Linked DNA regions of Ovis aries. The protein of the gene in region 1 interacts with the protein of each later gene in a pairwise test. Links are inferred from orthologs where the notes say so. Each region holds a gene or a part of one and is shown on either strand. Other genes may lie near its edges.

Region 1 (4,209 bases):
AGCCCATGTGCCCTAGAACCCTTCCTCCTGGGCTAGAAGAGAAGCCATAGCAATGAGGAGCCAGCACGCCGTCACAACTAGAGAAAAGCCTGCACAGCAACCGGGACCCAGCACAGCTGAAAACTAACTAAAGATCATAAATTCCTGGAACTGAAAATAATTTGGGAAGAACCAACCCCTACTCCAGGTGGAAAAGGCTCAGGTCCAGACCTGCTAACTAGGCTTGATTAATAATATACACCTGACACAAACGTTGTAATTAAAACCTAGTCCTTCTAAAACATTAATCACACTTTTATCTAACTCACAAAATCAGTTACTTCTGCTCTTAACAAGAAACCTGAAACCAATCTCATGTCAACTATAGATTACGCTGCAAATGAGAACCAAATGAAAGGTGTCAGTCATTAAAGTTTTATAAGTATTAGAAAGTAAAAAACGTGGCTTTTACATAACCATAAAACAATGTATACACTGCATCTACACAGAGTTTCATACCAGCCCTGGAATAAAGAACTATATTTCTCCAGAAACAAAAATCCCTGGGACATATTTGCTATTGACAAAACCAGGGTCTGGATTTGGGTCCAAATCATTGTGATCTGATTGTGTTATCTAATCATAACCTGATCTGACATCGTTCTACAAAAAAAACTATCTCCCTTTCCTTGAAACAAAAAATGGATCATGCAACAACTAAGAACTCTCAGAAGAAATTTTAGTTTGAAAAAAAATCACTCTCTGTTGTTTTCAGGGATTTCACCAATAATTGAGGGCCATCCCAAATGCTCATTCTCTTTTTTAAAGAATCTGACCAGACCGACTCTGAAGTCATCATCAGACCAGTCACTGAACAGAAAAATCCAGGGGAAAACCCCTAACAGGGATTAGCCTGAACTTTATATTTCCTTTCCAGAGCTGGAAATATTTGCGTTTGGAAAGTCCCCCAGCAGAACCGTATTTGCAACACTACAATCCAGCCTCAGGTGTGAATTTAAACCGGGAGACGGGGCAGTAGTAGTGGGGAGAGCGACGAAAAGACAGAAGCGGGTGCACACTGGTCCAGGATCTCTGGAGCCCGCCAGCCAGGGGCACGGCCGGCAGACACGTCTGGCACACACCAGAACCACCACGTCGCAGGCCGAGAACAGAGCTTCGCGCTCACCCTTGAAGGTGGCACTACAGAGCCACCTAGGAGACACGGGCATTTCATTGAAGACTCAATGAGAGTGAATCAAGAAAGCCTGCGCTAATGCAGCTGCCAAAGCCTCCAGAGTGTGCGTGTGTGCGCGCGTGCGTGCGAGTGTTGCGGGGGCGGGGAGGGGGGTGAGGTGGGTGGGACAGGGGTGACGGTAACGCAAAGAACTGAAGCAGCAGAGTCAAGAGAAGATAGTGGCCTGGCCTGAGAGAGGAAGTGGCCCAGACTGAAGAGGTCTGGACCAGAGGGGAAGTGAGGGGACCGGGACCGGCAGAAGCTACGAGACTGGATGGAGGAATTAGAGGCTGAAGGAAAGGGTGGAGGCCGCCAGACAGAGGCAAGGGGGCGGGGCTGGGAGATAAGCGAGGGCGGGACAAGGTAGAAAACGGGGGGCGGGATGCGGGGGGAAACCAGTGAGGGGGCGGGGCTCAAGAGAAAGGGGCGGGGCGCGGAGGGGAGAAGCAAGGGGGCAAGTGGGGGGCGGGGGGAGAGAGGAAGAGCACGGATGGGGGAAGGGGGAGACATAGGTGGCGGGGGGGGTACCAGGAGCGAGAAGCCAGGGGGCAGGTGGGGGCGGGGGAAGACAGGGAAACGCCAGAGGATGGGAAAAGCTGGCGAGAAGAGAGGGGCGGGACCGAGAAGGAAAAAGAGAGGGGGCAGGTGAGGGGGGAGGGAAGAAATCGAGGGGGACGAAGGGGGTGAGGGGCGGGGCAGGAGGGGAGAAGCGAGGGGCAAGGGGGCGAGAGGAGCGAGGAGGCTGGCGGGGGACGGAAGAGGTCCAGGAGGGGAGAAGTGAGGGGGAGTGGGGAGGATGAGGGGAGATCGGAAGGGGTCCAGGAGGGTAAAGTGAGGGGCAAGGGGGGAGGAGCACGGAGGGAGGAGAGAAACGGAGGGGCAAGGAGGAGAGGGGAGCGTGGAGGATGAAATGGGGGGGACGGAGGGGGTCCAGGAGGGGAGACGCGAGGGGGCGGGGCCGGGAGGGGCGAGCGAGAGGCCCAAGTAGGGGGACGAGGAGGGGAGAAGGATGGAGGGAGTGAGACCGAGGGAGGCCAGGAGGGGAGACGCGAGGGGACAGGTCGTGGGGGGAAGCAGGGAAGCCGGGGGGCGGGTGGGGGCGAGAAGCGAGGGGGCGGGGCCGGAGGCGGGGGCGGGGCCGGGAGGGAGTCGTGAGGGGCGCCCGCCGAGGGGGGCGAGCCGGTCCCGGGACGGCGGCCGGCAAGGGGGAGGGCCGCCTCCCCGGGGCGCCCTGCGGGAAATTCCGGGGCTGCTGGAGGGGCCGTGCGGGCTGCGAGCGGGCGCCGGCGGGGGCCTCCTGCCGGCCGTACCTGTCAGACGGATCTTGATGCTGGAGCCGTTCCTCCGCGTCCCGGGGTTCGACATCTCCCGCCAACGATCGGGCAGCCGCGGATCCAGCGCCGCCGCCGCCCCCCGGCCCGGCCCGGCCCGGCCCCGCCGCCGCCGCCGCCTCAAGGTTACGGCTCCGGGCTGGGCGCCGGGGTCCGAGCCGGGACACAAACTCCGCGGCCCAGGCGTCCGGACGGCCGGCAGATGGTCGAGCCGGGGGATCGGCGCTCGACCCGGCGCCCCCGACCCTCGCTCACTCCCAGCCGAGCCCAGTCCGGAGCCGCCGCCGCTACCGCCGCCGCCACCACCTCAGAGCCGGACGCCCGCCGCCCTCGCCGCTTCCGCCGCCGCCGCCTCCCGGAGCCGCGCGCGCGCCCGCCGCCGTGCCGGCCCGGCCCTGCGCGCGCCCGCGCCGTGCGGCCCCGCGCCTGCGTGCGTGCGCGCGCCCGCGGGGACGGCGGGGCGGGGCTCGGAGCACGCCCGCGTCGCCGGCCCAGCCCCCGGGCGCACAGGGTCCCAAAGCCGGTGGTTGGGGCGTCCCGCACCGGGGCGGAGGAGGGGGATCGGAGGCCCTGGGGACCCGGCGCGACGTGCAGAGCCTCGGCGGCCGGGAGCGAGCGCCGGGCACGCCCCAGGGCGGGCGGGACGGCGAGGCCCGCGTGCGGGCTTTCTCGTTCTCCGCCACATTCTCCCACGGAGCCGGTTTGCATGCGGACGTTGAGGTTCAGAGAACGGCATCGATTTTCCAGGCCTCTCACTTAAGGCTCTGAGCTCGTGAGAGCTGTTGAAAGCGGGCTTACAGCAAACCGAGGTCTGTGACTACACCAACGACTTTGCACGAATAGGCGTGCAATTCCAGTTTGTTTATTTACTTTGAGTAAAGAGTGTCTTAAAAAATGCAATTCAAGGGAGGGACTTCTCAAAGAGACAAAGTCCCCTAGGTGTGTTCTGGGCAACTAGTGCTGTCTCTTGACCCGTAACAAAGTTGCCAGAATCGCAGGAAGTGCCATATATGGGCAAGGTAAATAAGATGCGAGAGGCGGATAAAGAGGTAGATGTTTTCACCATCCAGTCAACAGACACTTGAGCCAAACAGAAAGGTAGCTTTAAGGCCTGCGTTTCCCTGCCTTCTGCTAACACTTCTGCCAGAGTTTCAGGGTGGAACTAAAGCTCATTATGCTTTCTTCAGCAAACAAACCCCTCGTTAACCTGTTATAAAGAGGAAAAACGTTGATAGGGAAAGCTGGGTTTGTTTATCAGACTTGTCTTTGACCAACTACCTGGTTCTCTGGATGCCTTCTTTGGTTTGTGTCTTAAGGAAACCAGGCTCTGATCCCTTGCAGCCATCCCCTGCAGCCGGGGACCTTCCTTGTGGTCACAGTCTTCAGAATAGAGCCCTCTTCCTAGAGCCCCTTGACATGCCCACCTGCCCTTGCTGAGCTCAAGACTCGTGAGTTGGATTCAAGGCTGCCTCTCCCAGCCTCCATCGGTGACTTAAAAGGACAGACCTAGATCATTTCTGTGGCCCCTTGCAGCTCAGACTTTGAATGAGTCTAGTGAAATATCCAAGAATACAAGCTATGTTGAAGCAACAGAGCAGTGGATCCAATATACAGCTCTGTTCCTCTTTGAGACGATTGTCACCGAGTCCCTGGATCTAAATAAGT
Region 2 (3,645 bases), on another chromosome or scaffold:
GTGAGTGAGTGAAAGTCGCTCAGTCATGTCCGACTCTCTGTGACCCCACAGACTATACAGTCCATGGAATTCTCCAGGCCAGAATACTGGAGTGGGTAGCCTTTTCCTTTCTCCAGGAGATCTTCCCAACTCAGGGATCGAACCCAGGTCTCCTGCATTGCAGGCAGATTCTTTACCAGCTGAGCTATCAGGGAAGACCAAGAATACTGGAGTGGGTAGCCTATCCCTTCTCCAGCGGATCTTCCCGACCCAGGAATCAAATTGGGGTCTCCTGCATTGCAGGCGGATTCTTTATCAACTGAGCTATGAGGGAAGCCCCCATCCCCTGCAAGCCCCCAGAAACTTGTCAGTGTTCCCCATGCAGCCCTGGAGGGCTATGCAAGGGCCAACCCTTGGAACCCCTACTGCTCAACCTCCATCACAAGGTGACCCAGGCCCCATTGGGCACAATCTGAGCCCTGGACACACCACACTCTCTGATCAGCACAGCCTGCCCCCGGACATCTTTGCTGGCATTGTCCCTTGGTGTGATCTTTCCCTGGAAGAGACCAAGCTCCCCAGGGCAACTAGGCAGGCCTTCCTGTGTCCCCAGCCCTGGTGCAGAAGTTAGTTCAGTGGGTGAACACTGAGCCAGGACTGAGATATCCTGCCCTCTGTCGACACCTTCCCCCTGCAACACCCACACCCAGGCAGGCGTTCACTGGGGTCTCCCGTGTCAGGTTCCAGGTGGCCTTGGCAGGGTTGGGTCAGGTAGGGGCTGGACTACAGGGCGAGACAACACAAGGGGAGGGGCGCCGTGACTGAGAGGGGTCACGGGATCACAGGTGAGCCCAGAGCAGGTGAGGGAGCAGCAGGAACGGGGTGGGGACGTGGCCCCACAAGGTCGCTGGGGCCCCACGAGGGGCGGCTGGGCCTTTCAGGTGGAGCATGCCTCTCGGGGGTCCTGCCACTGGAGCCCCAGGCCTCATGGCCGCCTCTGTCAGGCCCCAGAGGATCAGAGATCAGACAAGTCCTGCCCGGGGAAGGGGCAGAGGTGCCCACCCACCCATCTTCTCTGATGCGTGGCAGGTGGCCCTAGCCCCACCGCCACCCCCAGCATCTCCCCCTTGGGGCAGAAGGAAGCTGGGTGGAGCCTTGGGCAGGTGCTTATCAAGGTTACCAAGAGACAGAAGTCAGCCCCGACCCTCCTGGAAACGGAGAGACCACACCCAGTCAGGGACGCCCATTCTCCTGGTCCATCTGTCCTTCCGGCTGCCCATGCCCTTCTCGCAAAGCCGGGTTAGAAGGAGGTGGGGGCACTGAAGAGGCTGGCAATGGGGCCAGCCCTGGAGAGGCTCTCGGGGATTCAGGGACCCAGGTCGCTGCTGGCAACTCTCACCCTCCCCACGCCCTGTCCCCTTCAGGAGGAGGAGGAGGACACCCTGGACACGCCAAGGCCTGCAGCTCCACCCATGGGCAGCAGGTGAGAGAACCCTAGGGGTGGAGTGAGTCAGGTAGAACCAGAGCTGGGGGGTGCCCTGAGGGGCGCCAGGAACAGGACACCCAGGAAGGATGCTCCGGAGCCTTACAGGACACCTGCGAGGTCCCCACGAGAAGCTCCCATAGAGCCCCCAGGATCCTGGCACAGAAGCCCAGGAGGCCCCACGGGCAGAGTGCATACCGTGCTCGTTGACCTGCCCCACGTTCTCCAGCAGCTCCGCCACAGCCACCTGCTTCTTCTTCTTGGGGTTGAGCTTCCAGTACATGACGAGGGCTGCCTTGCGCACGGCCCGCTCCAGGTCGGTCTCAGAGGAGAGCTGCCTCACTTCCTGCTCATTCTCGGAGGTGATGCCTGGGAGAGGGAGGCGTCAGAGGCCTGGGGTCGCCCACCCGCCTGCCTGGAAGCTGGCAGGGACGCCCCAGCCCCGGCTAGCCCCGCCTGAAGGGGCTTGGGAAGCGATTCCCACGAGTGGCTTTGCAGGCATCTTCGTCACCAGGGCAGAAACGAGGGTCCAGCCAGACAAGTGTCTGGCCTGAGTCCCCGAGGGTGGGAGGCTCAGCCTAGGCTTTCAGCAGATGCTCGCCGAGTGGCCGTGGAAGGCTGGCGCTGGGCAAGGCCTCCCCACCTTCCTGGCTCCTTCCCTTCCCAGGTTCCCCCTCACAAGGACCTCTCTGGTGGGGTGCTACTCTTCCCATCTCACAGATGGAGAAACTGAGGCACCCAGGGGTGGTGGTCTTGGTCTTGGCGCCAAGGCCACAGAGTCAGAGAGGCTGAGCTGGTCTCAAACCCCAGTCAGTCTCACTGCAGTGAGTGGCCAGGCTGCAAGACGGGGGGCACCCCTACACTCACAGCATCAGCCCTTCCGAGGGCAGCCAGAAGCAGTGTCCCCGCGTAGATGGCCCTTTCCCAGGGGGCAAGACTAGCCCACAGAAAGATGGGGAGCAGGTTTCATGGGCCATTTAGAGGCCGCCTTTCCCCCTGCACGTGGGGGACATCAGCCCGGCCACCCCCACCCCAGGGGACAGTGAGAATGGGGGTGGAGGACTGATATTTCTTTTCTCCTTTGGAGCATCTCCCTAACCTTCCACGGGAGTCCACGTTTCTTTTACGATCAGGATGCATTCAGTGTGAGAAGGTGGAGGGTGTGGGCCACGTGAGACCTGGCCCCCTCCCTCACACACCGGCCAGTCTCCAGGCCTGCCCTGGCCCCCTCAGGGCCTCTGGGAAGACCACTGGCTCCAACCGTGAATTCTGGGGGCCACACTGACTCAACTGGCCAAGGCAAGCCCATCCCACCTGCCCTAAAGCAAGAGAGACTGGCTTGGTAAGAAATTCTGGCCAGCAGAACATGACCGTTCTAAGTCATTAAAGCCATCAGCCTAATGTCCAGAGAAAGGAGATTCTATACAATAATAAATAATGTTAATAAATATAATTTCTATACATTAGATATACATACATAATAAATATATATACATAAAATAATGTATATAAATTTTGTTTTATACATATGTATATGATAACCCTAATGTTAAAAAAAAAAAAAATTCCAATATAAAACCAGAAGGAAAAATAGTAAACTACGGAGCACTTCTGAGTTTCGAGATAATTTCTATCTTTATGTTCTCTATGTAGTACAAGTTTTCTATAACAACCATAAACACTTCCGCAATCTGAGTGGGATAAAAAAGGCCCCCGTTATGACACACACACTTTCACCTTTCTTCTGAGGTTTGAACCTTCAGGAAACACTTTTCCCTGACACCAGGAATGAACCATTTCCCTTGGGCAGGATAACATAGTAAGTATCCCCAAGTGGCCAGGCTACACATCACTGTCCCCCAGCACCCACGCCCGTCCTGGCAGTGAGTGCCTGCCTGGGTGGGCCCTTCGCTGGGCCCCAGTCCCCAGCTGCTCCGCTTAGACCGGATGGAAAGTCAGTTCAGAAAGTGCTACTCCTACCTCAGGCCTGTCATGCCCTCCAATTTGGCTCCCTGGGCTATTCCTCAATTAGGATGAGAATCCAGATGGTATATCTCCTTGTAGACCCCACCACAAGTTAAAGAGGATGAAAATGGCTTTGTTCCCTAAATAGTCCATGTTATACTCCCAAACCATCTACGCGGAAAAGCCACGAGTGCAGCAGAAACCACTTACTTTTCCCC

Evidence for each region.
Region 2: the proteins of SMURF1 (region 1) and WFS1 interact in binary tests that used the Homo sapiens proteins (3 or more experiments, as listed by UniProt). The link is inferred for Ovis aries from reciprocal best matches to the Homo sapiens genes SMURF1 and WFS1.

What each region holds. Positions count from the first base shown.
Region 1 is NC_056077.1:37,602,716-37,606,924, reverse strand, and holds the start of SMURF1 (E3 ubiquitin-protein ligase SMURF1), read right to left. Parts: upstream 2,840-4,209; 5' UTR 2,579-2,839; coding exon 2,524-2,578; intron 1-2,523. UniProt on the Homo sapiens protein: E3 ubiquitin-protein ligase that acts as a negative regulator of BMP signaling pathway. Mediates ubiquitination and degradation of SMAD1 and SMAD5, 2 receptor-regulated SMADs specific for the BMP pathway.
Region 2 is NC_056059.1:103,625,055-103,628,699, forward strand, and holds part of WFS1 (wolframin), read right to left. Parts: intron 1,832-3,645; coding exon 1,661-1,831; intron 1-1,660. UniProt on the Homo sapiens protein: Participates in the regulation of cellular Ca(2+) homeostasis, at least partly, by modulating the filling state of the endoplasmic reticulum Ca(2+) store.